4 linked regions of the Lepisosteus oculatus genome follow. The protein of the gene in region 4 interacts with the protein of the main gene of each other region in a biochemical or structural test. Links are inferred from orthologs where the notes say so. Each region holds a gene or a part of one and is shown on either strand. Other genes may lie near its edges.

Region 1 (7,974 bases), on a different chromosome or scaffold from region 4:
AGTACTCCTGGCAGGTCTCGCTGGGCTGGTCCCACGGGAGCTCTGCGGCGGCACAGCGACGGGGCGCGTCAGACTGAGAGGGCAGCACTGCAGTGCCACCGGGGGAGACGAGCCTCCGCCGTCCCACTGACCCCCCGGGACACACACACACCGGACCCCCCCTGGGACACACATAGTCACCCCTGACACACACTGACCCCCCCTGGACACACACACCGGACCCCCCCTGGGACACACATAGTCACCCCTGACACACACTGACCCCCCCGGGACACACATAGTCACCCCTGACACACACTGACCCCTGACTCCACTGTCCCACTGACCCCCCCAGGACACACACACTGGACCCCCAGGACACACACACACACACACACTGGACCCCCCCCGGGACACACACACACTGGACCCCCCGACTCCACTGTCCCCCTGACGGCAGCACCTGACACAGGCCCGCGCTCTCACCCCCGGCCAGCATGGCGGTCAGGACGATGCCGCAGGCCCAGACGTCCCCGGGCTGCGCGTGGAAGTCCGCCCGCGAGAGCAGCTCGGGAGCCACGTAGGGCAGCGTCCCGCACAGCCGGGACAGAAGCCGCTCCCGCCCGCGGTGCCGGAACATGGTGGCCAGGCCGAGGTCGGAGATCTTCAGCTGGTCTGGGGCCAAGAGGACGGAGGAAACCATCTCAGTGTCACCAAAACGCCCCGCGTCCACTCACAGCCTTCAAATCAGGCTGTACACTGCCCAGCAGGAGCCACACCAGAGGCTGGACGCCTCTCGGGGACAGGCCGGGGACAGGGGGGGATTAGGGGGTCGGTACACTGTCAGGACCCAGCCCAGCTCTCACCTCTGTCGTCCAGCAGCAGGTTCTCCGGCTTGATGTCCCGGTGAGTGATTCCTATTCCATGGAGGTACTCCTGTGGAGCGCACACACACACACACACACAGTTATCCCAGCGCACTGGAGTCCACGAGCCACAGTGACGCCTCCCTCTCCGCCCCGCGGCCCCCGAGACGCACCTCCCTCTTCAACCTGCGGCCCCCGAGACACTCAAGCACGGCCCCCATCGCTGCAAGGACTGCTGGGATCGCTGTGATCGCTCAGCACGCCTCTCACGCTGGCTCGGCACACAAGAGCCGCTGACCCCCCCACCCAAACGAAGGCAAAAGGAAGAAGGGGGACCCCCGGACCAGACAGCCCAGCCGGGGACACCCCACCAGCGCGGCGCTGAAGGACAGACTCACCACGCCGGCAACCAGCTGCTGGAAGAACCTGTGCGCATCTCTCTCCGGCATCCCCACGTCCGGCTCTGAGGGAGGGAGGGAGAGGAGGGTGAGGAGAGTGAGGAGGGAGAGGAGAGTGAGGAGAGTGAGGAGGGAGAGGAGAGTGAGGAGAGTGAGGAGAGTGAGGAGAGTGAGGAGAGTGAGGAGGGAGAGGAGGGAGAGGAGGGTGAGGAGGGTGAGGAGCAGGAGGGGCGCCTCACCGATGCGGTCGAAGAGCTCGCCGCCGCTGCAGTACTCCAGGAAGATGTAGTGCGTGTCCCCCTCACGCCGGTGGCCGTAGAAGCGCACGATGTTGCGGTGGCTGAGCATCTTGTGGATGCAGATCTCCTTCTTGACGTTGTCCGCACAGTCGGCCGCCCGCGAGGTGTCCACCACCTTCACCGCCACCGCCTCCTCCGTCTGCCTGTTCACCAGCAGACGCACCCTGGCGGCCAGAGAGCACACGGGTGACCAGTCGCCCCGCTGAGCCCGAGACGAGCCCCCCTCCCCCCGCCAGCTGCTCCTGCAGCCCAGGCCAGTCGGAGATCAGGAGAAGCACGCACAACACACACTGGACAGCACACACTGGACAGCACTGCCTCCGGCACGCACGCACAACACACACTGGACAGCACACACTGGACAGCACTGCCTCCGGCACGCACGCACAACACACACTGGACAGCACTGCCTCCGGCACGCACGCACAACACACACTGGACAGCACAGCCTCCGGCACGCACGCACAACACACACTGGACAGCACAGCCTCCGGCACGCACGCACAACACACACTGGACAGCACTGCCTCCGGCACGCACGCACAACACACACTGGACAGCACTGCCTCCGGCACGCACACACAACACACACTGGACAGCACTGCCTCCCGCACGCACACACAACACACACTGGACAACAGTGCTTCACCCAGCCACAGAAACTGGGCACAGGCAGACCCGACCATGCAGAGAACACAGGCTCACTGACCACAGGCTGGACACAGGCAGACCTGGCTGTACAGAGAACACAGGCTCACTGACCACAGGCTGGACACAGAAACATTTCAAATCCCAATGTGGGCTGAAAACAAGTCCCCCAGTCCTGCAGTGTCAGTGAGTCCGCAGGTCCGACAGCCTGCAGGACCATCGATGGACACCGGCCTGAGGCGTTCACAGTTACTGCTGGCACATCAGGCCCCCGGCGAGCCAGGGCGCGGTACTTACTCTCCATAAGCCCCCTCTCCCAGCGTCTGCACCACGTCCCAGTCCTGCACGAAGGGCACGGCCATGTCCAGGGCTCAGGGACACACACACCTGCTCGCCCGGCCAGACGAGAGCAGAGACAGTCAGAGCACCTACAGGCGCCAGCGGTATCACACACAGCTGCACCCCTGACACACCGGCCACTGCGGCTCCGGCAAGACAGCACCCTCACCAGAACCGACACCCGCCCCGGGCTCCGGTCCTCTCGGAACCAGAACCGACACAGGGACACCTGGAACACGCTGAAGAGCCCGTCCGGGCCGCGGCGCACAGCAGGGAGCTTTTAGAAACGCCTTTGACTCGGATCGAAAAGGCGCTGCGCTTCGCACCCAACTTCTCGACAGACTGCAGCAGTCCGCATCACGGCAGACCAAGGCGATCGTTGCCCGTATTTCGGATTTTTTTAAAATCAGTTTACCCCTCCGAAATAACTGCACGGCCGCGCTTTGGCGCGCTCCGGTCTCAAATCTCCTCCACGCTCCTTCCGCTCTGGGCTCACGCACTTCCTGTTGACGTCGGCAGCAGGGGAGATGGGCGACATGCGAATGACGTCAGCGGGACGACTCTAATCCGCCATCTTGCTGTTGGGTGACAGCGCAGCGTTTTCAAAAGCGAATGAAATAGCGCTTTGTTCACTAGTACACGTTTCCGAGATGTGTTTTTTCGGGGTCGTGACGTCAATCAGCCCCCCTATAATGTCGTAGGGAAACCGGGCCGGTCTCATTCGTTAGTGCTGCGTTTGTGCTGCTTCCATTCCCGAGATATAGCGCCTTGTTTTTCCTGTGATCAAGTGACCATGCACGGTGCCTTTGACCTCCAGTGACCCCGTCTGCGGACCATGGCAATATTGGAAACATGTTTTTTATTTTCACATAACAGAAGCGAACTTATATCTGCATTTTTTAATAAACTCATTAGCCGTGTGTTTGTATTTACAGGAGTCTTATGCGCAAATATGAAGCGATGAGCTCACAGTCCTTGTATCTTCGTGTTTCCGGCCAGTCTTGGTGTAGAATACAGCGTGAGGGCACACCTGCCCCCTGAAGACACAGGTGTGGGCGCCTGTGTTAGATCCTCAGGTGAAGTCGAGTCTTATGCAGTCTGCGATGTACTGACCCAGACATGTTTGCTTGTCCTGCTCCATGAAGGTTCCCACCCGCCCGTCGAACAGCACAAACGACGGTTTGTGTTGCTGTAATTAGCGTTTGTGCTGCTTTCGTTTCCGAGATATAGCGCCTTGATTTCGGGTAATCACGTGACCATCTACAAGGAAGTTTACAGGTACCAACAAACTCGGTGCTTGAACTCCTGATTGTGATGAAAACAATGGGGGCAATGGGGGCCAGGCAGGCAGGACTGTTTGACGGCTCTCTGAACGATGGCGCCGGCCGCAGCAGTGTCCCCGACCCTCTCTGGGGGATCTGTTGGGAAGTCCTCTCCAGCCACGGCCTGCCTCCGCTCACAGAGGACTCCCAGCTGAGGACTGGCAGGAACAGGACCGCAGCGGGTCCCGTCGGTTCCCACATGGCAAGCACCATGTCAGCCTGTAGACTTACTACATCGCGTCTGCGGGGAACTGAACACAAAGCTGAAATGCCTGTATCCCAGGCAACGAACCACCAGCAAGCAGCAGGAAGCTGAAGGCTGAAGGATGGTGCTGCACAGCAGGACAGCTGCTGTAGGGTCACCCGCTGTGCCCCAGGGCAGAGAACAGGCCAGACACCAGGGTTCAGTTAAAAAAGCCTTCTCTCTTTAATCATCCCCTCCCCCGATCACAACAGGACGACTATTACCAGAGCCACAATGGAATTCACTGTACACAAGTCCCGGGTTTGTCCCATAATAATACAACTTCTTTTTTTACATTATACAAGTCCCTTCAGGTTAGGAGGTCTTCAAGAAGAAAAAAAAAACAAACAAAATCATGTTATCCTCTTTTTGCGGCCTGCAGGGCGTCCCGTCTCCGAGATGAGAATCCATCGCTAGGCAACGGCGCCCAGCGCGACCACAGAGCCGAACGAGCCGCGCCGCGGGAAGACCACCATGGAGAAGAGGGTCGCTCCGTCTGCAAGCGAGAGCCCCCCGGTGGTCGCCGGCCGCAGGCGGGGCTCCGGGCAGCTCAAGGGCGCTCGCTCTCTGCGCCCCAGAGGCTCGGACAGGACACGCGCTCCTCCTCTCCATACCCTGCACGGGGAGCCCCTCAGAAACAGGGCAAAACGCACCCCCTCTGCTCCTGGGGGTGTCTGCAGGCGAGAGGCATCTCGGGGCGCAGGAGGAGGGAGGGGGGAGTCTACCGCAGCGACATCTTCACTCCGGCTCTCCGCAGCCCTCGGACACAGAAAACGTCCAACCTTGACCTTCTAAGAAAATAAAAGCTCTAATATATTACACCGAACCTCCAACAGAAAAAGCCGCACGGATGCGTTTTATCCCTGGAACCCAGCGTCCCGTTCTTCCTGCCCTGCGCCCTGGGTCAGGGCTTGGCGATGTGGACCTCGCTGGCGCCGCTGCCGTTGGTGGTGGTGGTGATGATGTACTGCGCCGCGGGCTGCTGGGCGGCGGCCTGCTGCTGCGGCTCCAGCTGGTCGGGGTGCACGGGGGCGCTGCTCTGGGGAACGGCCGCCTGCTTGGGGTCCAGCTCCGCCTGCCCCTCCGAAATCACGTAGTGCGTCTGCAGGAAGAGGGGTGGGGGGGTCAGACAGCCGTCTCAAGCAAAAGCCTGAGCCGCACAGTCCAGACACCTGGCGCCTGTGACCGGGACTCCCAGCGCCCTGCTGCCGGCGCCCCGGACCGAGGCCTGCTGCCGTACCCTGCTGTCGCCGAGAGCTGCACACACTGCAGAGGGAGTGCCTGCGATACAGGCGTCAGCGAGGAGCGGGAGGCGAGGCCCACAGCAGGAAGCTCAGGGCTGAAGGATGTTGCTGCACAGCAGGACAGCCCGTTTAGGGGTCACTCGCTGTGCCCCAGGCCAGACAGAAGGCTTTTTTTAACCAAGCCCCGGTTCTTTAGTCATCCCCTCCCCTGGAGATGGGGACAGGATGACAGGGCTCCTCCACTGGGTGCCAACCCTCCTTCAGGCGCTGCGGGGCTCTCCGCAGGCCAGCGTGTCGGAGAAGGGCAAGGAGGAGGCCTCCGATTTTAACAGCCGTCTCGGGGGGACACAACCCAAATACCTGACAAACCCTCCGGAGCCACCGACTTGTAAGAAACCTGCTGCACGTTCGAGTGACATCGCTGTGACAGGGACACCTTCCACAGAAGACCACCCCCCCCCCGACTCGCTCGGATGTCAACAGGCCGAAACCTCCTGACCTGGGACATGGTTTTGACCTGACCGCTGTTCACCGCGCTCACTGGGGCCCCGGTCTCGGCGATCACGTACTGGGCGTGGGGGAGAGTCATCATCTGGATCTCCGAGGCTGGACAGAAGAACGAGAGAGGAATGTAAAAAGCCTGGAACAGGGCTTTGAATGACACCGACCTTCTCTTCACCCCCTCGACCAACAGCACAATGTGTATCGAGTACGGTCAGCACCGGTCAAAGATGACAAGATGTACATCAGCACTGGGGAAAACCAACAGGGCGGCCCAAGATCTTTTCCGGTTTCTCAGTCCAGTTACATTCTTCAAATTACAGGGAAGGTTTGGGAGCGACACCGAGCCCGAGGACAATCCTGTTGGCTCGTCTTCACTGCGAGAAGATCTCTAGCTGGGGTACAGAGGGACTCATGCTAGAAAGTGTGCTTCAGCAGGTGGGGAGGACATCCCCAGCTACAAGTCACGATCTCGAAGATGCCATACAGCTTTCGAAAAAGACACAGACTGCCACTACACTTAGGAAACAGAGGCAGGGTATTTCAGCACTTTTTCATAAAACGGAGCCAGCTGTCCATTCTGGAACACAGAGATATTTTCTAATCCCAGGGGCCGATCAGTGAAAAAGGGCTCATTCGGGTCGTGAAAACTATGACCAGCGTGTTGCTCTCCCCATTCTCTCTCTACACGGTATTCCGGACTCTGGAGCACTGCCGCACACAAACACGGAGTGCATGGTATGAGCACATGACATGCGTGTGCTTATAGCAGGGTCTCCAGTCCTGGTCCTGCAGGGTTTCTGGGTCCCGACAGCAGCGGAGGGGATGGGAGTGATCACCCACAGGCAAATACCGGCAACCACACCCACCCTCCAGGGCCAGGGCTGGGGGCCTCTGTATGAAACACGAATATGTCCAGCCCAGTCACTCACAGTAGCCCCTGTAGTTCCAGTTGCTGGGCAGGTAGGCGTGCTGCACTGCCCCCTGCTGCTGAGACGAGGGTGTCTGCAGGGTGTGGCTCTGCGCCAGGGTTACCGGGGTGACGGTCTGTAACTGGGAGGGGCTCAGCTCCTGCGTCGCCTGCTGGGAGGAGGGGCTAAGTGGCTGCCCAGCTACCTGGGAATAAAAGGGAGAAGAGTCTTTAGACGAGCTGGCCAATCCTGAAGAGAACAGGACCTGGCTCCCTTGAACACCCTTAACCACAGCTTTTCTAATCATGCACACAAACATCTTTACATTTCTTTGTATCAAGGGTTTCTTGTCCCAATTTCTGCCCCAGTTGACACGGTACTCATCTGATAAAAGAGCAGCACAAACTGAAGATGCTTTAAAGCCATAAGTGAATCTTCAGCAAAGAAACTTCGATGACAACGGTTCCCAGCACATGACCTGCCCTGCTCTGGCTTCAGATTACAAAACGCTGCTCTCTCCACTTGCTGCGAGGCCACACTGGTCTCTCCCGGCTGGGTTCACTGCCGACGTTCGGCACCCAAGCCCCGGCACTCCCAGACCACACGAGCTGCATCGCGGACGAACGACATCGGAAAGACCAGCCAACCTCCCGCCCTGAAAAGACACAGAAGGGGCACACCCACGAGGCACCCCTCTCGCAAGAGGACCCGAATCCCAGCGGGAAGGTGCGAGTTTCCCCCTGGCCCCGCCCGGGCCGGTTACCTGCGCGGAGCCCTGCGCGGAGCCGGCCGGCTCGGCCAGCTGGATGTGCTGCACCTGGATGGAGTGCTGCGTGTAGCCGTGGGGCTCGTGCAGCTGGCTGACGTCCACCGTGGAATGCTGGGAGGTGTGCGGAGAGGACGCCTGGGGGGGGGAAGACAGGGTGCAAACCTTCAGAGGAAAACTACCAACAGGCTGCGCGGCATGTTAACTCCTTATACATCTATAGCGCTTCTCTGGACCTCCACTCAAAGCCCTTTACAGGTCATGGGGATCCCCTCCACCCCCACCAGTGTGCAGCCCCAGCTGGATGATGCTCCAGCCCTCTCCCAGCTCTCAGTGGGGAGGAGAGCAGAGCGATGAGGCCAGTTCAGAGACAGGGCTTATTAGGAGGCCATGATGGGTAAAGGCCAGGAGGAGATTTGACCAGGACACTGGGGTAACACCCCTACTCTTCTCGAGA
Region 2 (7,026 bases), on a different chromosome or scaffold from region 4:
CAAGGAAGTCTAAAAATGGTTCTTCAGCTCTCATTAACCACTCTTATTTTCCTATCACACTGCTGGCACGTTTCCCTCATTGCGACAAATACAAAGGTCACGCTAAAATGACATCATGATGTTTTGTGTTTTCTGGCAACAAACATTGTCATTATTTATTTTCACATGATTATCATATTGTTGGCATTTGACATACGACATATGGAAAAGGCATTTGATTCCACTCACATGACACAACCCAGTGACCAAACATCAGATTCTGGTCCATGCCCTTGCCTGTTCAGGACTTCAGGAGCCAAATAGTTTGGGGTACCACAAATAGTTCTGGAACAGTAAATAAGTTGGCATTAATGCAGTGCAGAGAAGACTAGAAGAACATGAAAAAAAATACTGATCAGCAGAAATTTGGAACTGAGTAAAAAAAACAAATCAAGCCTACTTTTTCCTCTGTTCCACTGGTTCAAGCTTGGCTGCCAATCCGAAATCTCCCAGTTTCAACTCCATGTTCTCATTGACGAAAAAGTTACCTAAAAGTACAAACCTCAATTAATTTCATGTACTTTGAGAGGGTTCTGTATCAAAAGATACTTTGCCCTTTCTGGGCAAAGATTTAAGAAGCCATTCTGAATTTGCTATTTAAACACAAGCAACTGTAGGCTAAAAAAAAATATTTCCTTTTTCCTCTTTAAAAAAAAAAGTATCTACCCAGAGGACATTTTTGTGTTGAGAACTAGGTCTCATGACAACAGTTCCCCAGAGCATTCCAAAGCTGTGAACATCTCGCAATAAAAGCAGTGCTTCATTGTGCACACCTAGTTTGAGGTCTCTGTGAAGAATCCCTTTGTTGTGGAGGTATTTCAGTCCTGATATAATCTGCTTGAGGTAGTATCTCACTTCGGGATCTGTCAATGTGTGCCGTGCCTTCCATATGTGCGCCAGAGACTGCAAAGGAAATGGAAAACGCCCGTCAGTTTGAATGATTACTCACTACCGGCATTCTGAATCACCGGAGAGCCAAAGCCAACAGCTTACCTTTCTACTGCAAAGCTCTAGGAATATGTAGATGTTTTCTTGGTCTTCAAAATGATGAGAGAACTTCACTATGTGTTTGTGATGAAGCGTTTTGTGCAGCTCAATCTCATTCGTTATCTGGAAGGCGATTAAAAAGACGAGTTACAGCAAAAGGTAGAACTCCCTCACCAGTTCCATAACAGACCAGCCTTTAACCCAACCTCTTCTGTACAGAAATTGTAAATACATTAAAGGGTGTATTGCTATTATAAGTAAATGAATAAAGAACAGCATTAGAAAAAAAATGTAGACGACTAGTTCATTCTCCAAAAAACAATACTCAAAATACGGTACCTTTTCTCTCTGGTGCGGTTTTGCCACTCTGCTTTGGGGTATTACTTTCACAGCATACACCTTGTTGTTGGCAATATCCGTCATTTCATAGCAGCGTGCAAATCCGCCCTAGAAATACATTTAGGATGTAATCAATAAAAGCGCACCAAAGTAAACAATCTACTCCTGCCGAGTCCCACATACAAAAGGAAAGAAGCACAGAATTCGTTGTCACCATTCATATGTCACAGGTCCGTCTCTTCAGAAATTCCGAATTTTAAATCCACGCCGGACGACCCTCTTTTAAACACAGCCTCACATCTTAAATGTGGATGGTTGAGGTCTATTAACAGCCAAGGGCGCTTCTACATTGTATGCACCACTTCCAGGACAATAGGGGAAAAAACCCTCTTCACCCCTGGCATACGGACAGTAAGCTATGGACTTTCCTCTTCTAGTGTAAATGTAATATTTATGAGGGAACACAAAATCAAAAACGTGACAAAGATGAGGCACAAAGATCTTTCTTCCTCCCATTTCTACATATTTAAGGAATGTTGTAATCAGGTGTTATGCACCCCCCATGCTGGTTAATGACACTGCATCAAACGCCTCAGGGCGATAGTACTAGAAAGGCTCTAATCAAAAACAGGGAAGCCAGCGACCATTACCCTATTCAACGTGGCATAAATTTGATCTCTCCATCTGGACTCGAAACGTTAAAATACTTTTAAAGGATTTATTTGGAGGAAAGTCACATTCGTATACATGGAAACAATACCCATGAAGATTAAAAAGTCTCCAGAAGAACGAGATTAATTTTAACTAAGTACCCCTAACGCAAAAGCTTAACCTCATGCACAACTGCGTGAACAACAATTCTTCCCAGCCAGCACCGACTTCTAATCAATAAACCCAAATCTTTCACATTCAGAGACGTAAAACCCAATGAGTCACACAGCTAGAGACAAACTGAAAGGAAAGAGCGCTTATGCAGTCACAAGCTGTGCATCAGCAAAAGCAGTCTAACCCGCAATCTCTCACAGGCAGTCAATGGAAAAATAAAAAGCTTATGTTTAGCCAGCCACTTAAAAACCATTATAATATTTAAGAGGAGAGGGAAGGAAAGAAAAAAAGCCTTCAATACCATACCATTAAAACCGACAGAGCGCTAACGTGGCTCAATAAACATTTTAAAAATATTTTCGCTCAAAAAAAAAAAACTATCAATTGGTAGACCTCCAACCCCTTCAAAACAAACTGTTCAATGAAATAGTCTCCCGCAAATTTCACAAATCCCTCAGAAAAAATGAGTATTCATCGACAGCGGTGCCACATGACAACAGCAGCGCCTCGACGTGATTGCAGTATATACCTTTCCCAGCAGTTTTCCTTTGCAGTAACATCTCCCCGTCTTGGAATCGTTCACGACATGAGCCAGTTCCGATCGGGACTGTTCCAATTTGCCTCGGTTCGGTTTCGCCGGGTGAGCAGCAGCCCGTTCAGGACTAGCTTTAAATAAGTCCGGATTCATGATCTGGCAAGCGAGGCGCTGAGAGCTGGAGAAGCACGTTGATTCCATTCATTAACGCCCCAAACACACCGCCAATATATTTCCTCTGTTAAATGGTAACAGCCTCCTCTTTCCTCTCCTCCAGCCTCAGCAGTACATGCCCTAACAGGGAATCCCTGAACCATTTATTCAAGGTCTTTGTCACGTTGTATCAATGGGCGGGCAGCGAGGCGGAGTTACATTTTAAAGACGCAAAGCCTATTCGAAGTTGTTTAGTCCTAACCGTACTTTCAAGATGCCTGAGTAGATCAGTGTTAACAGGTAATCCACGAAAACCCTTTGATACATAGTAATATATAGTTATATATTTGTATGTGGGATATTCATAGTAAACTTTTAATTTTTTAAAAATAGCTTCAAGTCACTTAGATCCTAAATAAAAATGAGATACTTCTGAATAAAATACCACTGAAACACTATATACTTGGAGATTCTAGGATTATTTGGGAAGCCAAAGAAAACCCTTTGGATCCACGGGATAATTTAATCATCATCATCATCATCATCATCATCATCATCATCATCATCATCATCATCATGATCATCATCATCAATATTAAAACAGTTAGCTACTTTGGTACTCATGTAGCATGAATGATTTGTGCACATGTCCTTAGCGCTAGGCTAAATTGTGTACAGAATTCACAGTTTATTGAATGTCCACTACTTGTTAACCAAAGATAGTATAACTTACCCCGCCTTTAGGACCTGTTACATGTTACAGGGTAACCGGCTCAAAATAGAGTCAAAGATGCAGAGCAAAATCAATAGATTTACCATCTTTGAGAGACCATTTGAGTGCCAGAGACGGACTGGCGATTCATCACGCTGAGTAAAGAAAGCCCTGACATATCCACTAACGAGGGCATTCAGATCTTTGGCATCAAATGCTATTGTTCACAAAAGAATGGCTTCCGACTGCGTTCAAGACTAATCATGTGAAAAGCACACTGTCTTTAAATTAGGATTAGTCAAAGCGATTGCAATGGATGACCCTAAATCAATGTCAAAGATAAACTCAATAAAAATAATCAATGGTAAGAATACCCAGCTAATCTTTTCATTTTTAATCCGCTGTCAACGTATAATTGCGTTATGTTAGTCTGCAGAACTGTTCATCAATTTTCCTTAGAGATTCACTGCCCCCTGTCTTCACACACGGATATATTAATAAACCGAAATACTTGTACTTTTATAATGTCAATGAGAGTGCGGCAAAGGGGCAGATTTTGGAAAGTTAAAAAATAACAATTTAAAGCGCACTTTCATAAACATGGTTTTCATGTTTTGTAGTATTTAGGCATACTTCTAAATTTTCTTTAGAAACCCACCTATCATCTAGAAATCTTTTTTTTATTGTATTGCATGCAACACTTTGAAAGAGGAACAATACAATTCACGTTAAGTGGCAGTGAAAATGTACTTACAATGTCTTTCCCTTTAACACTCTTATGTATACAGACCACCGACAGCATGAAGAGAAAATTAAAATACTGCTGGATGCCACCTTGAGTCAGACAATGGTTTTAAATGTTTTCTCAGTTAATTAGAAAAGTCAGTACCTTCCAGTCAGTATCTAGGCTTCCAGTATCAAGAATAGGACTGGCAGAATTGTTTCCATATCTCTGGCATGAGCTAATCAAAACGAAACATGGTGTTTTCCCCTCTGGACCACAATCTCCAAACCAGTACTCCAACAGACACGGGACTCTGTTTTATAGGAAGTGCTGTCCTTGGGATGAAATGTTAAACTGGGGTCCAGACTGCTTGGTCATTTAAGATCCCATGGTATTGGAAGACTAAAATTATTATTATTATTATTATAGTTAACTCTAGACTCTGTCCTGGCTAAATTCTACTCTGGGTTTATACAATCTGGCCTACCTAAAGTTCCCCTTAATGCAACGGGAGCCCTTGATCTGCTGTGTATTCAGGCTGCTGGTGCTTAATATCTGTGAAAGTGCTTCAGTGGTAGAAGTACAATGCTCAATGATACAAAAGCAGCATTTCTCTCACCTAAGATTTGAACCTCAACCTTCTAGTTACAAGTCCAGAACCCTGACTGCTGCTCCACACTGCTGTTCCAGTTAATTTTTTGAGGAAAGTGTTGAGCTGGAGCCCGTCTTAGGAAGGACAGCCTGCAAGGCAAAACTGGGAGCACATGACTGCCCTCAAATTCAACCCAGTGCCATGGGGAAAGGGAAAATTTAGAATAGACAACTAGACCTGGCTAGAAGAAACCAGGGCATCCAGAGAAATACCACACTCCAGATAGATACCCAATGTCAGAGTGTAGGACCATGGAATATTGTTTCAATGAAATCATTAATACATTTTAAATCAATATATTTTCAACAAACAAGGATTACAGCACTGCACAGTTACGTCTGGTAAACAAACAAGGCACAGGGACAGAGTACAAAGTTGAACAAGTTTAAAATGGTGTAATGAAGAAACAAGTGGTCCTCAGGTGGAAGTAATTTTAATCAGACTATAAATGCAATAAAATACTGCACAGAAATACAAGAGCAAAAGTACATCAGTTCAGATATTTTGTACTTTCTGTCTGTAACAGTATTCAAGCAACACATTTTCACAATTGCGATTCATAACACATCTTGTGTGGTTTTCAGAAGACTGTCGGGGGTAGTAATGAAAGGTTCAGTAGACGTTTTGCAGGAACACTGCAGGATAGATGTTGGCAAAATTAGGTACCAGCCTAAACCCAGTGAAATAGAAAAAGATCAATGGATATATCCTATCTAGATCTTTGGAAGAAGAAAATACAGAAAAAAATAATGAAACCTGTCATCTGCTTTATTATTTCCAACACAGCTGAAATAATGGATGAGATTTTAATTTAGAAGACAATTATCAACATTTCTGTCTTGTCTTTGATTGATCTGGTCAGTATTCCTTAATTTTAAAATGTTATTGAATTGACTAATCTATTGAATCTCATTTTTACTTATGGGATCCACAAACTTCACTCGGGAGACTCTTGAGAACAATGCGCATTCATATTAGAAATATAAGTTGTTGAGTTCTGTGGTGCTCGGAGAATTACTGTAGTTCTCATACCCTCTACTCTTGTGAAGCAGTAGTGTTCTCACAGCCATACAATAGTCTGGGGAGCCCTCTGGTGGACATTGGTTACAGTACAGTGAACATGCTGCAAGAACCTAACGGGTATGAATGTTATAAAAAGAAAATATTGTACTTCTAGCAGGAACATTACAATTCTTTTAAAATGTATTATGTGTTTCATTCTAAGCATTTTGACAAGGTAACTTACTGGTTCATAGACGGTTTCTGTTTCTAATTTAAAAAATGAGGAGCAGTTGCATAAGTTTGAAGACAAGTTTGAAACCAACATTACACAATACTGTAAATTAATGTAGAAAACATTATTTGAATAATGGCTCTTAAACGTAAAGATGCACTATTCATTATTAAACCCCCTTTTAATTTATTATTGGTTATCTATATTATGCATTTTTAAAATCTATAACTTATGTAACTTTATTCTGTACCTTTTAATTTTGTGATTTTTGTTTTTATCTCCACCTGGTGAGCTCGCACAAAAGACATTTCATTGCCAGCAATTACTGCTGCACGATGTATTGTTGTGCATTTGATAAATAAACTTTGATTGTTTGAGATATATCTTATACATAGTTCTGAGTTGGAGCATAGCTACAGCCATAGTATTGTACATAGAGATGTGATAGAGACAACCCTACAGAACACCCGAGAAAGCTCAGTTTTCCACTGAGGGTGCCTTTGTGGTACAGTGGAGTTCAGTTGCTAAAGGATACTGCGTATCTTGCAGCTGGGACTAGGCCTAACACACAGCACTCAAACCCTGGATAGGGATGAACTATACCAATCTCATGAGTGGAAAACACACAGTTTGGCCCCAGTTCTACAAACTGCAAAATCAACACTGGTTTCCTTTCAGACACTATCCGAAAAAAAAAATACATCAAACAAGTTTGATTTTATTTTATTTTATGTTTTTTTTGAATAATAGGCACATAGTTCACCCTTTCCCTGCATATTCCAGCTGTTACTCTGCGCAAATGTAATGATGATAGGCTAAGAATTTT
Region 3 (6,821 bases), on a different chromosome or scaffold from region 4:
CTCTCACTGTATGCAAAAAGTAATGGCAATATTTTGAACTTATCTATGTACTGTATCATTGTCACTGCTAATTTGACAGGACTGATACTTACCATATAAAGCCCACGACTGAGAGGCTTAAGTAAAGTCCTGTATGCTCTGTTAACCAGGGCAGACTGACTTTCAGAGTATTCCTGCTCCTGCTGTAAGAGACATCACAAAATAACTTCCAGGAAGTAATCAATAAAGACCCTGCATGCTATTTATTACAGCACATGTTCCAGAAATCTCACAGGGCAATCATAAGACTTTATTTTCCCCAAAAGTAATTTTTTTCCCTTTCCGTCAGTGTTCAATGTAGCATACTTAACATGATCTGATGATGTGATATAATAAATTATTTGTGAAAGGAAAGTTACTAGTTCTGACAGGCAGAATGTGCTTGAACGTACCAAAGGTTAAAAAGCACTTGATAACTCTTTATATGAAATGCCTCTCATTTTCATTAAAAAAATAATGTAGAAAAAACAGAAGGTCCACATATATCTGGGACTAAACAGCTTCAGTCTTGAGGCCAAGCATGAAAAACGTATTCACAAACCTGAAAGGTGCTGACAAGGTCAGCCCAGAAGATTACTTTATGCTCAAGAGTAAAATAAGTACAAAAGGGCACAACTACAAGCTGCTCATGAAAAAGTATATTTATGGCTGAAAACAGGAGAGGCTTTTTACACAAATTTTTGTGGAGGTTTGGTACCAAGCCATGTTGTTGAAGCTAATACTGGAGATCAATAAACTATTTAGACAAAGGTACCATAGCAAGCTACTATTTTCCTGGACCAAATTTTCAAAACCTTCACAATAAGTATACAAAGTATTACAGAAGCAGCTGTAAACCGCTTTATGCTGATCCGTGGTAAAAGCTACAACACAGCTGGTCATTTATCAATTACATCATAAATAATAACATGAAATTAGGTGCAAAAAAAGTTATGATTACCTAAGCAGTGCTTCAAAGTGCCTTGAGCGTTAAAAAAAAAAAAGGTCTATTATATTCAAACAAATTAACACAACATTGGGGACCAGATCTGTACATGTGTATTGCCTACTGTTTAGATGCAACTCAGTCCAGTTATGAAACAACTACATTAACGTCAATGTGGGATTATGCAGTACTTTTGTAAACCTACAGCCAAACCTTGGCATTCAGATCTGCTTGCCATTTTATGAATGCATCTGAATAGGCTAATTTTACACTTACCAGGTCCTGAGTGTAAGAAAATTTGATTTTTTAAAGGTCTTGTCATGCTTGGAATAGTTGAATGTCTTGAATCCAACAACAGAAGCTGGTGTGTATGAAACATGTAAAAGGAAATAACTGAAAAACCATCTCATGTTTGGAAGACAAGTTGAAGGTAAAAGGGCTCAGCAACAGAGGGGCATACCAGGCTTATGCAGCCAATGGGAATCAATGAGAATTAAAAGTGGCCGATTTCTATGTTACAGCCATACATCATGCTACACAAAACACCAACAGTCAGTCAAGCCCCTCATTTAAAACTGATCTGTAGACTGGATCATCTCCAGAGTCAGTCTGCTCCTAGGACCTCAATATCCAAAAGCATTAATTAGTCAGTGCCGCTCCATATGGTTAAATATGGTTAACAATCAGCAGCAGGCAGATTTTCCTGGGGGCTTGAAATAGCATTACAAGCCAAATTTTCACTTTTTCCTGATAATTCTTTAAAAGTGGTGCAGAGTAACAGAAAGTGCTTTGGGAGAAAGTTTAATACCCTACCATGCTAATCCCCAGCACTGATGGTCCTTGTCTTTAATATGCACCATATTGTATCAAATAGACTCTTCTGCAAGCCAAACACATTTCACATCATATCACTTAAGTTAAATGGAATCAGACAAGCCATTTATTTTTAAAGCAAAGTCTTTATTTTTAGACATGAATAGTCTCCATATCCAACACTACTGCATTGCAATGTGAAATTCCAAAATCCTCAGACCAGACTACAAAGTACTCAGATACACTCAGTCTATTTGCAGGAGTTAAGTGTTACTCCTGCCATTTCTGCCATGTAATTCCACTGCTATTCGAGACTGACTTTTTTGTAGTTTGAACATTGCATGAGTATGCCTACACGATTATTTTTTTAAATGTCTGGAGACATTAGAGTTGGCAGGTGCACGCACGCTATGGAGGCTGGTGAACCTTCACTTACAGACTATACCAGAAATGCAAAATTATATTTGATTGACAAAAAAAAACACCAGTCCATAGTTCACTGGGTTTTGATTCTATTCATTGGACTTGTACAGATGCTGAACAGAAACAAGCTGTGGACAGTGGAAGTACAAGTCTACACAGTGACACAACAACGTTTTGCCCGTTTAAGAACTAATTGCAGAAATCGTGCCATACACCTGGAAGCATTGCTTACCTGCGTTTTCTGGCTGAAATTATCAGGGTGAAGAGAACGCTGAAGATGCATGTACCTTTTCTGTAACTTCCGAACATCCAAAGCAAAGGATATTTCACTAAAACAGTGCATAAAGGTTTATTAACACCAGGTGCACTAACACCAACATCTGATGATAGTCGAGCAATAAATGCTGCAGATGTAAAAAGTCAACTAGCATGTACAGGATTCTTAATGGAACAAGTATTATTAGTTTATTCCATGCTGAAAAGAGAAGAAAGACAACACAACGTTTCGGCCACGGAGCCTCACACGTGAAGAAGGCTCCACAGCCAAAACGTTGTGTTGTCTCTCTTCTCTTTTCAGCATGGAATAAACCTATTACTTGTTCCTTTGCAGCCTGCGCATGCTGACGCAGTTACCCACCTGAACTAGGATTCTTAATAGCAATATTTATAAGACCTCTCTAAGAATTAAAACGTTTTAAGAAATGCAAAGCTGTTTTATGCAGTTAACGTTTAATAAATATATGGCAACCCATTAAGGTTACAAAACCATGTGTAACTTTAGCATATCAGAGGGATCTCGCTGAAAACAATTTCAGTCAGCCAACGCAGACACCTGAGATCGAAACTGCTCAAGTGGACAAACTACTTAGAGTGCCAGACAGACCAGATTCCTTCTCACCAGTCCATGATGTCGAAGAAGTTGATGTTTTCATCAAGTGGCTGGATGACAAGGCAAGCCGGGCAGAAGAACGCAGGAGGCGTCTGCAGTCGTGCCTCGCATTTCCAACAGTGTAGTTTTTTCAAAACCGTGCAAAAAGTCCTGGAAATCATACCGCATCGACGTTTCAAGAGCGAAGTGGCTGGGAACTGATTTGATTTGAAGTGCTCCAAAAAATGCAATGTTTTTGAACAGACTCCAGAAGAACGGCGGCTGCCCGAGCCATTCAAGGTGAACACCGTTACGAAAGCTTCACAGCCAGACGTGGAAGGTAGATGTTTTAAGACAGACTGATCATTTCCAACATAGAGCCCTAGGCCACAAACTCTACGGAGTGAGCTGGCAAATCGTAACCTGTTTAATATCAGCATTGTTTTTCCTTTAAGTCAATATCCATGCATGCCGGTACTGCCTTCACCTCTCGTAAGAGGAGGAGGTGGGTAGGGAAGACAACAGGAAGCATCAGAATTATTTCCGGTTGGATATATAAAACATAAAATTGTTTAAAAGTAAATATGCAGTATTAATACTATGGTATTTACATGCATTAGTTTAAATTTGTGGGTTCGTTTAATATTATGGAAGTCAGCGAACCTCAAGTTTAAGTCACATATTTCCCAAATTAGGTCTCAAGGCAGAGGCTGAACTACATTTCCCAGTCTGCCCCAGAGTTTCCCCGATTGGTTGGCTTCTGTAATTGGTTGATTTTGTAAAACGTTTCGGCGTTGTTGAATGTACTACCTGTGATTGAGGAATAATCGGGGAATTTTGGGCATGTGAGTAGCTGATTTTGTTGAACTCAGGTATGACCTAACTCGTATGAATCATGCAAAATGAAAACAGCATGCTTCTGTATTTTCTTTAAGTTTACGCTACTGTATTAGTTTTATTGACCGGGAGTCATGGGCGCAGTTTTTTTACTTTTTCTTTTAATGTGTACGTCATCTGAGCTCATTGCATAGATTTAGCTACAGTTTCTGATTTCTTTAGTCGTGTTAAGAAATGTGTCTCATATCTTAGACGTGTTTCCTTAATTATTTCGGCCTATGTTACCATGTGGCACCGGGAAGAAGGCGGCTCTCTTGTTATTGTTATTGCGGACGGGTGCAAGTTTGCTTCCTTGTAATGCAAGGACTACAGACTATGGGATGCCAGGCACTTTGCCAGAAATATTTTTTTTAAAAATAATGACCCCCACCAAAACGAATGACAACTTTTAATGAAAACACTTTATTTAGTTTTTACCTCGGGCAATTCAAGATTTTGTGGATGAAAGGACTATATACTGTAGATGTACAATAACATTTTGTTACAAGCCACTCTTGATCTTTGCATTACCGTGCGCGGCCACAACCACTCTTTTGCTGCGGAGAATTTGCAGATATGTGCTAAATGGGTGCGGGACATCAGAGAGCGGCCGCCAGAGACCGGGAAGTTGTGCAGAACTGCACCGATTTGTAGGAATCTGCACTAGCATTGTGCCGAATGCTTTGAAGAAGGCACCTCGGATATAGCGTTTTATGTTTTTTAATACTGTGATTTTTTTTATGTTTAGTGTTTAAGTGCAGCGTTAATTTGAATTGGAAGTTACATTCATGACAAGATAATTTATTAAAAGTTCAAAAACAAGAAAAATCCACTGTCTCTCAGGGATTTTATCATAAACGTGCGAAAGTACCCTGTCCAAGGTAGGTGATTTTCTTACCATTTTAAATTCAACCATTATTGATGTGCTTGATTATCCAACCCCATTTGCTCATGTTCACGAAAGCATATGCAGTTTTGCCCGTGGTTGTCAAAGTGTTTGGCCTTACCTGGGTACACGTGTTGTGTTTGCATCTATAAACATAAAAACATACCAGTTCTTCTGAGCCAGGAAGCAGAATCATGATTTTGTTTCCACATGAGAAGTAGCATCAGAGGTTAACAACAGGAAGCAGCTTTGTGCTGAAGGAAAAACAAGGGTGTGCAGAGGAAAGCTAGACCACTAACTACTGTTCTGGTGCCTCTGTTGTGCTTGATGCTTTCAGTAAAGGTAACCAGGGAGCTTAACCATGTCTGAGGAGCCTGGCCCCAGTGACACCCAGCCTCAGTCCCAGTCTCAATCCCAGTCCCAGTCTCAATCCCAGTCCCAGTCCCAGAGCAGCTCCAGTTCTTCGTCGGCGCCTCAGTCTTCCAGCCAGTCGTCCTCGTCTTCGGGCTCAGGCACGCTGAGCTCCGTCGACACCATCCCCGTGCGGGACCTCTCGTCCATTCCTGAGGAGGCCGAAGACCCGGAGGAGCCCCCCCCACAGCCCTGGGGCCGCCTGCTGCCCATGGAGAAGGGCTTCGCAATGCACAGTGAGGGCTCGCTCTCTCCTGCCTGTCTGGACTAGGTCCCAAAGGACAGTTCTGTGCCATTTAGCCATCGCTGGCTTTCGGAAGCTTGTAGAAAGAAGTTATATCTCCTGATTATGAATCTGAAAGTGAATGCGCCACTTTACCTAAATAGTTCATTTCTTCAGTGTTCTCGAACATTTTATTAAGTGGTGTGTTCAGGTGAAAGTTTGTACTGATATTGTAAAATGGCCACTTTGAAGTATAAAGAAAGATTTACTAATTATTTCTTTGTGTTGTGTGTTGTGATCTTAAGCAGTTGCGAACATTAATTGTTTAATGTTAAACGTGGCAAACCTGGCCTTTTTCTTTCAGACTGCATAAAGGATGAATACTGGTTTGGGAGAGACAGACGATGTGACTACAGTTTTAATAATGCCTTAATCAGAAAGTCAGAAAAGTACGCAAGTTACAGTAAGAAGCACTTCAGGATATTCAGGGTAGGAGGTACTTCTGTTATCGTCCTTGGTCAACTGTTCCGGTATCCACTCGGAACAATTCCTTTTGAAGATTTAATGCTTTTGTTATCCCAATATGTCTCTTTATGAGACAATTATGAAATAATTCATGAAATAGTTGTCTGATGCTGTGATTAATTGGGTCACAGTTTTGTAGGAAACTGACACATTTTTAACACCTCCTTCCCCTCCCTTCCCCACTCCAACTTTTCTCTGTGCAGGAAAGCGGAATTCCGTATATTGAAGACCACAGTGGGAATGGGACCTATCTTGACGGACAGTATATGGGACAGGGCAAAAAGTTACCACTGGCAAATAATGCTGAACTGGCGCTTTCTGTCCCCCAGAACAAAGGTAGAATTTTTCTGTGTAATTTTTGTTACTAAGTTTGTTTGTTTTTTGGTGGGGTGTTTGAAAAGGAGTTTTTAAGACATCTACACATCAGTGTGTGAACTAACTTGCATTAAATTGTACTGCCCATGTAGCTCAGGATTCCTTCTTCTGACGTATTTAACCCATTCTAGAGACTGTTGCTTTATAATCTATGTCATTTCTAAAGTTCTCATATCCATGCATAGCTTTTTGTAGGAATCCCAAAGGTATCCTGTAATGTTTAATTAAATATATTTTGTATAAGGGAAGCTGGTGATATGTTACATTAGTCTTACTCTTTTTCTTACTTCCCAGTACCTAAAATGAAATATTTTACTTTTTTCTCTATAGTTTTTGTGTTTATTGACCTCACCGTTGATGAACAGTCAAACCTCCCAAAGGAATTCAAGGACAAATACTTGATATCAAGAAAAATTGGATCGTAAGTGGAGCAGTCGTTAAGTGTGTTGCCTCGCTA
Region 4 (7,102 bases):
ATAATTATAATGAGAAAATTATACTTTTGTGTTTACGTTCGTCTTAAGTTACCTAGGTCTGATGAAACAATGCAGTTGTGCTGTGTAGTCTGCGCTTCAATTTGCATTTTCCCCAAGATTGAGAACCTCAGAACACTCTCCTGGACAACCAGAGAAACACAAGGCCGCACTCACATTCTCCTTGTTGTTGAAACAGGGACTGCTGGGGCCCCGCGCGCCGGGGCTGAGACCGCCTGAGCCGACCTTAGGGCTGCTGCACAGCAACCTGGGCTGAGAAACAGAAACACAGAGAGCAGTGAACAGGAGTGACACACGTTCATCCAGGTGGCACGATTAGCAGATGACAGTTAGATAGCCAGCAGACTTATCACCCCGCAGCTCACACTAGCAGCCCGCTGAAGCCCAGCAGGTGTGGAGGGGAGACCTCCTGGGAAAGCTAAGGTTGCTGCTGGAAAGGTGTGAGAGGGGCCAGCAGGGGGCACTCACCCACTGGACTATGTGGGTCCTAACACCCCAGTATAGTGACAGGGACATACTGCAAAAAATGCACTGTCCTTCAGACGAGAGGTAAAACCAAGGTCTTGACTCTCTGTGGTCATTAAAAACCCCAAGTCGTTTCTGAAAAAGAGTAGGGGTGTTACCCCGGCATCCTGGCCAAATTCCCCCCTGGCCTTTACCCATGATGGCCTCCTGATAATCCCCATCTCTGAGCTGGCTTCATCACTCTGTTCTCCTCCCCACTGAGAGCTGGTGTGTGGTGAGCACACTGGAGCATCATCCAGGTGGGGCTGCACACTGGTGGTGGTGCAGGGGATCCCCCTTACCTGTAGAGCACTCTGAGTGCAGTATCCAGGAAAGCGCTATATAAGTGTATGGAATTATTAAGCATTATAATTCTTAGTGAAATAGCACAGCCCAGGACCCAGATCTCGGGGACAAGGTGACTCAGGGAGCCGACTGCAGGAACCCGAACCCCTGGCCTAGAGAGGGGGCTGATCTCTTACCAGCATGGACTTCAAGCGCTTCATATGGCCCTTCCTGGAAGAGAGAGAGAACAGCAGGCATGAGGCCGAGCAGACGACCGGTCATCCACAGACCCGCTTGGCCACCCGACCCGTCGGGCCAAGCACGCGGCCAGCCGGGCAACCACAGCGACGGCCCGGCAGGGAACCGAACGCCTCGTTAACGACCCCGTTCGGAGCGAAGAGTCGCCGGCAGAGGCCGGGCTGAGAAGGATACTCGTGACGGAGCGAGACTCGGGCGCTGCCTTCCAGAGCCTCAGCAGGGCTGTCAGTGAGACTCCTGATCCACTCCCGGCTTCACAGTTTACTACAGTCACGGACACTACTTAAGGAACAGGAGAAGGACATCAGCCATACTGTCTAGGGCCCAGTGTGGGCCATGCGGCATGTTACTGACCATCAGTGCTCTCTCTGTCGAACCTGTCATTTCAGCTTTTACTTGATCTGTAATGTCCGCCCATCCCATCTCACCCCCTCCTCCCCACTGCCGCCCCCTCCCCTCTGCCCCCACACACTCACTTGTTTTTCTCCGAGTCGGGGGTCACTTTCTGGGGGAAACTGGGAAGACAGAAGAAAGCAAAACTGGATTAAAAAGTTACAATCACGTACAGATAGACCCGGCTGTGGACAGCGGGGCCAGAGAGAGAGAGACCCAGATGTGGACAGCGGGGCCAGAGAGAGAGAGACCCAGATGTGGACAGCGGGGCCAGAGAGAGAGAGACCCAGATGTGGACAGCGGGGCCAGAGAGAGAGAGACCCAGATGTGGACAGCGGGGCCAGAGAGAGAGAGACCCAGATGTGGACAGCGGGGCCAGAGAGAGAGAGACCCAGATGTGGACAGCGGGGCCAGAGAGAGAGAGACCCAGATGTGGACAGCGGGGCCAGAGAGAGAGAGACCCAGATGTGGACAGCGGGGCCAGAGAGAGAGAGACCCAGATGTGGACAGCGGGGCCAGAGAGAGAGAGCCAGATGTGGACAGCGGGGCCAGAGAGAGACTCGGCGGCGGTCAGCAGACACTGGAAGGAGTTACCTCGGGGCCGGAGAGTCTGGGGGACCGCGGGGGGAAAGCAGCTGGTCTGGGGAGACACAAACGCAGACAGACATGAGGACGGAGACAGGAGGCGCCGGGGAGACAGCCGGCTCGGCTCGGGTGGACAGGACGGACTGACCGCTGTGCGCCGGGATCGGGGCGTCGCCGTCGCTGAGGCCCGACAGGTCCAGACACCGCCGGGGGGTGTCTCTGAAAGACACGGGCGAGGAGGTTATTGCCCGGGGCGCGGGGCACGGGGGACGGGGGAGGCCGGACCTGCACTCACCCGCTCTGGAAGGCGTTCAGGCTGCCGAGGCTGTGCGTGAGCTCGGATACCGGGGACAGCAGGCGCTCCGGGGAGCCGGCCTCCCCCTCTCTCGCCAGGCTGAGCAGCATCCGGCAGCCGGCGCGGAAGGACAGGCCCTCGCTCATCCTGACTCGGCGGCGCCCTGCGCTGCGGCCGGGGCTCGGGTCCCTCTCCTGCGCGTGTTTCCCCGAGACCGCTTTCCTGCTGCGTTGCTCGCGGCGCAGGCGATTCTCGAACCGTCGGCAGCCGGAACCGGGCGTCTCGCGCCTGCCTGCGACCCTCGCCCGCTCCCTCTCACGCCGACTGCGAAAGAATAAGGACACACGGCGCCCTGCGCTCGGATTGCGTCTCTCGGTTGGAATAAAACTCCAGGCGAACGCTAATACAGAGCAGAAAGTGGTGCTGTAGTTACAACACATAGGTCTTCAGTGCTGCCCCTTTCCTCTTGATAGCAAAAAAAACCCGGTGCATTTCAGACATCGTGCTAACAAATGAACGAAATTATGTTTAAATGCATCTTAATACTTGATGGAAAATTTATATTTTCTTATCTACTAATCTTAAGCTTGCGATTCCGTAACAATCCCTCCTTTCCTGTAAAACCCTCCATTACATTCCCCCAAACTCCCCAACACAGGATTTTAAATTTCACGCGCTGCGATCCGCCAATCACGGATCACGCTCCGCAGCACGACGTCCGCGAAACGTGAGTCAAAGCACGCTCACGACAGCGTTTCCGGACGCTGCAGGTCTACTGGTCCATTCTGCTGTCCATCAAAGCGTGCCCCGAGGAAGGAGGGGCTGGAGAGCTACGGCGCTGAAGGCTATTGGCCGGAAAGCTCAACCACGCTGGAGAAGTATCATACGGCCCGTGATGTTTGTTCGTGGTTTTTGTGTTATGTAGTTAAAACACGCGGAATATCTGTACGTTTAACGACATAAAGAGTCAGTTTAAAGAGAGCTCCTTCAAGAAAAATGCTGCCTAAATGTAATTCGTGTTTTGCAGACTCCCACGCGTTGTTATCTGTAGGAATAACAATGAATCAGAGACAGATCCACGGGTGGTTTCCAACCAAAGGGTGATTTTTATTGAATTAACTCGATAAGTGGGTTCAAACTTTTAACAGCAGGTCAGGACAAAATGCAAGGGTATCACCCACAGCGGTCCTGAAAACTGCAGCGTGAACTGCAGTGAACCTGTTGCGTGATTTTAGCCAAGAGAGGAGGTGTGTGCAGAGTAGGACTGGACGAGGAGGAACCGTCATCAGCACAACAAAGAATGGATTCCTTTTCTGCGACACTGTCTTTTCCAACATCTTCGGGGGGGGGCTTACAGTTGAGTCTGTTTCCCCCCCAAGTTGCAGAAAGTCTTAAGATAAAAATGCGACCCAATTATAATTGGGGGTGGGGAAAAAACAACCTAAATGGAATGAGAAAAAAATATATCTTAAAAACCTTTGTTTTCACTAGAATGTTGTTGAGCTGTGATGTGTCTCCCAGCTCTGCCGCCCTGTTGACCATCGGGGTACGGGGGGGTAGGGGAGGGACTGTCTCCCTCCCCTGGGGGGCAGTGTTGAGCAGCACAGCACCTGCAGCAGTGATGTCACACGCCCCGTCTGGGGATCCCCCACCCCAGCAACACCATGAGCTCTGACTGCAGGAGCTCCAGGGGCACCTCAGCCTGGGCTACTGGCCTTGCAACAGCCTCATTGAAGTGGGCCTGGTCTCTCGGACCCGGATCAGGGTCGATTTGGGTCAGTAAGGTGGTGCTGAAATGTAGATTAATGAAACAAATTGCTTCACAACAAACTGTACTTAAGATCAATGGTTGTGTGTGTTCAATACCTTTGCTCAGATTTATAGCTACAGCGTGGACCGTCTGAAAATGTGAGAGTCATGTACATCATGCATCACAGATCACCTGATACTCAGGAAACTGCATGATGAGCTCCTAAGACTAGCTAACACCCACTGCAGTCACACGTTTAGAGATGTCTTTCAATGGAACTGACTGACAGGATTGTCTTTTTGTGATCAATATATTTATATTTCTGAGTCTGGAATTTTATTTTTTTTACTTGTACATCAACACTGTGAATTGTTTTTCTTCTAATAAAAGCAGCCTTGTTTGGCCCTGTGGGGGGGGTGTAATGAGGATAGTCCAGAGCACCTACTACATCAGGAAATCCCACTGGAAAAAAAAGCTTTGATCAGAGTACATAGCTACAGGGAACAGAAGCTACATGGCCAGTGCTCAATATTGACATGCTATATGTACGAGCAGTACAAACAGTGCATGGGCTTAAGGTAGTCAGTGTAGAGTATACTCTGTCTGCAGATAAGACATCTTTCAAATAAAAATGATCAGCAATCTGTAAATGGCGATCTCAAAACTTTAATTCTCTCCGAAAACTCTAACGTCAGCTGGAGCCTGATGAAAAGTGACGGCATTTTTTTTTTGCGTGAGTCTGCTCTATGAGCCGAGCTCTTAACCACAAAGCCAGATTAAATTTGATTTAAACTGCCCCGGAGAAGGTTAACTAATAGAAGATATGTTGATATACTTATAAACCCCGATATAAACCAACTGTGCTTCCGTGAAAGCCAAAAACCGGACTTTGTCAACACGTTTACTAAACTCACCCGGCTAAATGAAACATTCCTTACATCTTATTTAATTTCTGATACAGTTCAGTGACATATCTCCTCTTGCTTCGTATAAATATGCTAATTATAAAACACTATTAAAGAAACTCTTCATTTTCCTAGCGGCTCTTGTTAATAAAACAACCCGCACAAATTCGAGCTCAGACTCTCAGTTTTTATTGGTTGGACTGAGTGTCGCCAAAGCGGAAGTCCAGCCCTGCTTCCTGTGTCCACCCGCGCGGAGCCCCGCCCCCGGTCACCTGGCGGGTATTTAAGCCCCCAGGCGGCGGCAGATCAGTTTGGCTGTTACTATAGCCCCGAACAGCATGACCAGCAGCTTTCACCCCGCTTCGCCAAGCCCGCCGGACCACAGGTCTGGAGCGCTTGCGTGTGCACGCGTTTCTTGCGCCGAGTGACGAGTTGATTCCCGATCCGGTTTCTGGAGGCGCGGGCGGGCGGGCCGGCGCGCGGACGAGCTGCGGTCTGTCCCGGGGCGTGTTCTCGGGACAGCGCGCGCCCGCTCCGTCTGCGTCACGGCCCGCGAGCCCTCCCCCCGGAAGTGCCCGGGGGAGAGGTGGCGTTGTCTCCGCCCGTTCCGCCGGTCCCTGTGTCGGCAAGGCACTGCCGTCTAACTGTCTCCCCTGCGCTTCCTCCTGCAGGCTGTGGCCGGTACCGGCCTGGCCCGGTGCCCTAGACCTGGACCTGGCCTGTTGGGACCCGCTGCCCCAGACCTGCATGCCAGAGCCCTGGCTGCTCCCGGGCTGCAGCTCCGTGTACAACAGGCTGGTGAGGTGAGGGGCGCTGACCCACTCCTGGGCACTTCTCTGCACAGACTCGGGCTCAGGAGGAAGATCTAACTCCAAAAGCTTATTAGAGGCCAAAAGCTAAATAAGCTTGTAAGAATCCAGGGTATCAGCTTGTTCCACACTCCCACCACCCTCTGTGTAAAGTGCCTCCACTTCTCAGTGCTACATGCTCTTCCCTGTAGCTTCCACTGGTGTTCTCTGGTTTGCTTCTCTGGTTCTGAAGTCCCCCTGGTTGACTGTCGGAGTCTTTCAGGATTTGGGGGTGCTTGATTCAGGTCTGCGGTCTTCTGTTTAAGACTACGGAATCTGTCGCTGGACCCAGTCGCTGCAGGACAGGCCTCCGAGCCTGTGAAAGGAAGTCGTTACTCGTCTCCGGAGCATCTTGTCTTCGAGAGTGTGGCGCTGAAATAACCTGGTGACCAGAACCGTCCTCAGCTCTCATTGAGGTCTTGCTGGAGTGTGACGCAGTTTCGACAGGGTTCGACTTGGTTTAGATCCTGCGCTGTTGACCCTGCGTCCTCTCTCTGCTGGCCTGTTTCCTCGCTTCCTCAGTGTCCGGCAGATGACCCCAGTGACCACGATGTGTCAACCCTACATCTCTCCCGGTCTCACAAGCAGCCTCTCCCAGCTCGGAGTGTTTTTCTCCGAGGCAGCTGCGGACAGGCGCTTGGGGTGTCCTCGAGTGTCTGTGTGGCTCTGCCTAGCCCTCTGCCTGCTGTGTGAGAAAAGGGGGGGCGTGGGGCACTACTGAGGTCCCTCATTCTCTGTTGCTCCCTGTAGCAGCTCCTCGGAGGCGGCGCAGCCCCAGTGCAGGATGACCGGAGAGTCTGACCAGGGGGGCGTCCCCCACAAACCTCACAGGTATGCCGTCTCGCCAGCAGGGGGCGCCCGTGCCGGTCTGGACTTGGGGCTACCCCTGTCCTGAGGCGTGGCGTTGGCAGTCGGGGGTGCGATCGGGGCGGAGGATGTGTAGGTTCGTGCGGGGTGCGAGGCGGGGGAAACGAGGCGCCCTGCAGAGAGGGGGCGCTCCCAGCTGAACACAGCGCCCCCTGGAGTCCCTGGAGTTGAAGTGACCTGTTAGCACCTGAGCAGTGGGGTCTTCTCAGTCTGAGAGCAGCGCAGCTGTTGGGGTGCCCTGGTGTGTGTGGTGTGTGTGTGTGTGTGTGTGTGTGTGTGTCAGGCCAGGAGCTGAGCAGAGCCCCCCAGCGGGATGTCCCGCCCGGGTCACAACCTGCTGTCTCCGTCCCCGCAGAGCGTCCATTCTGGAGCGCTGTATCCTGAGGCTGTCCAC

Evidence for each region.
Region 1: of the proteins of M-phase inducer phosphatase 1-B (region 4) and chek1, one has a biochemical effect on the other in vitro, tested with the Homo sapiens proteins (16 studies listed by BioGRID and IntAct, with this or other methods). The link is inferred for Lepisosteus oculatus from reciprocal best matches to the Homo sapiens genes CDC25C and CHEK1.
Region 2: of the proteins of M-phase inducer phosphatase 1-B (region 4) and plk3, one has a biochemical effect on the other in vitro, tested with the Homo sapiens proteins (2 studies listed by BioGRID, with this or other methods). The link is inferred for Lepisosteus oculatus from reciprocal best matches to the Homo sapiens genes CDC25C and PLK3.
Region 3: of the proteins of M-phase inducer phosphatase 1-B (region 4) and chek2, one has a biochemical effect on the other in vitro, tested with the Homo sapiens proteins (14 studies listed by BioGRID). The link is inferred for Lepisosteus oculatus from reciprocal best matches to the Homo sapiens genes CDC25C and CHEK2.

The regions. Positions count from the first base shown.
Region 1 is NC_090718.1:15,711,257-15,719,230, reverse strand, and holds the start of chek1 (serine/threonine-protein kinase Chk1), read right to left. Parts: upstream 3,012-7,974; 5' UTR 2,945-3,011; exon of another isoform or gene 2,578-2,944; 5' UTR 2,553-2,577; coding exon 2,488-2,552; intron 1,707-2,487; coding exon 1,483-1,706; intron 1,309-1,482; coding exon 1,244-1,308; intron 916-1,243; coding exon 846-915; intron 655-845; coding exon 466-654; intron 43-465; coding exon 1-42. Other genes in the region: prdm10 (PR domain zinc finger protein 10), read right to left, coding at 5,000-5,197, 5,839-5,945, 6,773-6,956, 7,515-7,655. UniProt on the Homo sapiens protein: Serine/threonine-protein kinase which is required for checkpoint-mediated cell cycle arrest and activation of DNA repair in response to the presence of DNA damage or unreplicated DNA.
Region 2 is NC_090704.1:6,013,639-6,020,664, forward strand, and holds the start of plk3 (serine/threonine-protein kinase PLK3), read right to left. Parts: upstream 3,021-7,026; 5' UTR 2,927-3,020; coding exon 2,720-2,926; intron 1,474-2,719; coding exon 1,366-1,473; intron 1,150-1,365; coding exon 1,033-1,149; intron 943-1,032; coding exon 813-942; intron 528-812; coding exon 440-527; intron 325-439; coding exon 229-324; intron 1-228. UniProt on the Homo sapiens protein: Serine/threonine-protein kinase involved in cell cycle regulation, response to stress and Golgi disassembly. Polo-like kinases act by binding and phosphorylating proteins that are already phosphorylated on a specific motif recognized by the POLO box domains.
Region 3 is NC_090717.1:5,419,930-5,426,750, forward strand, and holds the start of chek2 (serine/threonine-protein kinase Chk2), read left to right. Parts: upstream 1-3,814; 5' UTR 3,815-3,913; exon of another isoform or gene 3,914-3,940; intron 3,941-3,948; exon of another isoform or gene 3,949-4,825; intron 4,826-4,839; exon of another isoform or gene 4,840-5,167; 5' UTR 5,168-5,191; coding exon 5,192-5,477; intron 5,478-5,828; coding exon 5,829-5,953; intron 5,954-6,192; coding exon 6,193-6,325; intron 6,326-6,694; coding exon 6,695-6,785; intron 6,786-6,821. Other genes in the region: iron-sulfur cluster co-chaperone protein HscB, read right to left, coding at 93-182, 2,433-2,529, 3,099-3,508. UniProt on the Homo sapiens protein: Serine/threonine-protein kinase which is required for checkpoint-mediated cell cycle arrest, activation of DNA repair and apoptosis in response to the presence of DNA double-strand breaks.
Region 4 is NC_090706.1:29,488,788-29,495,889, reverse strand, and holds the start of M-phase inducer phosphatase 1-B, read right to left. Parts: upstream 3,005-7,102; 5' UTR 2,779-3,004; coding exon 2,339-2,778; intron 2,263-2,338; coding exon 2,192-2,262; intron 2,099-2,191; coding exon 2,053-2,098; intron 1,581-2,052; coding exon 1,542-1,580; intron 1,039-1,541; coding exon 1,005-1,038; intron 271-1,004; coding exon 175-270; intron 1-174. Other genes in the region: slbp2 (stem-loop binding protein 2), read left to right, coding at 5,332-5,378, 5,665-5,796, 6,592-6,672, 7,064-7,102. UniProt on the Homo sapiens protein: Functions as a dosage-dependent inducer in mitotic control. Tyrosine protein phosphatase required for progression of the cell cycle. When phosphorylated, highly effective in activating G2 cells into prophase.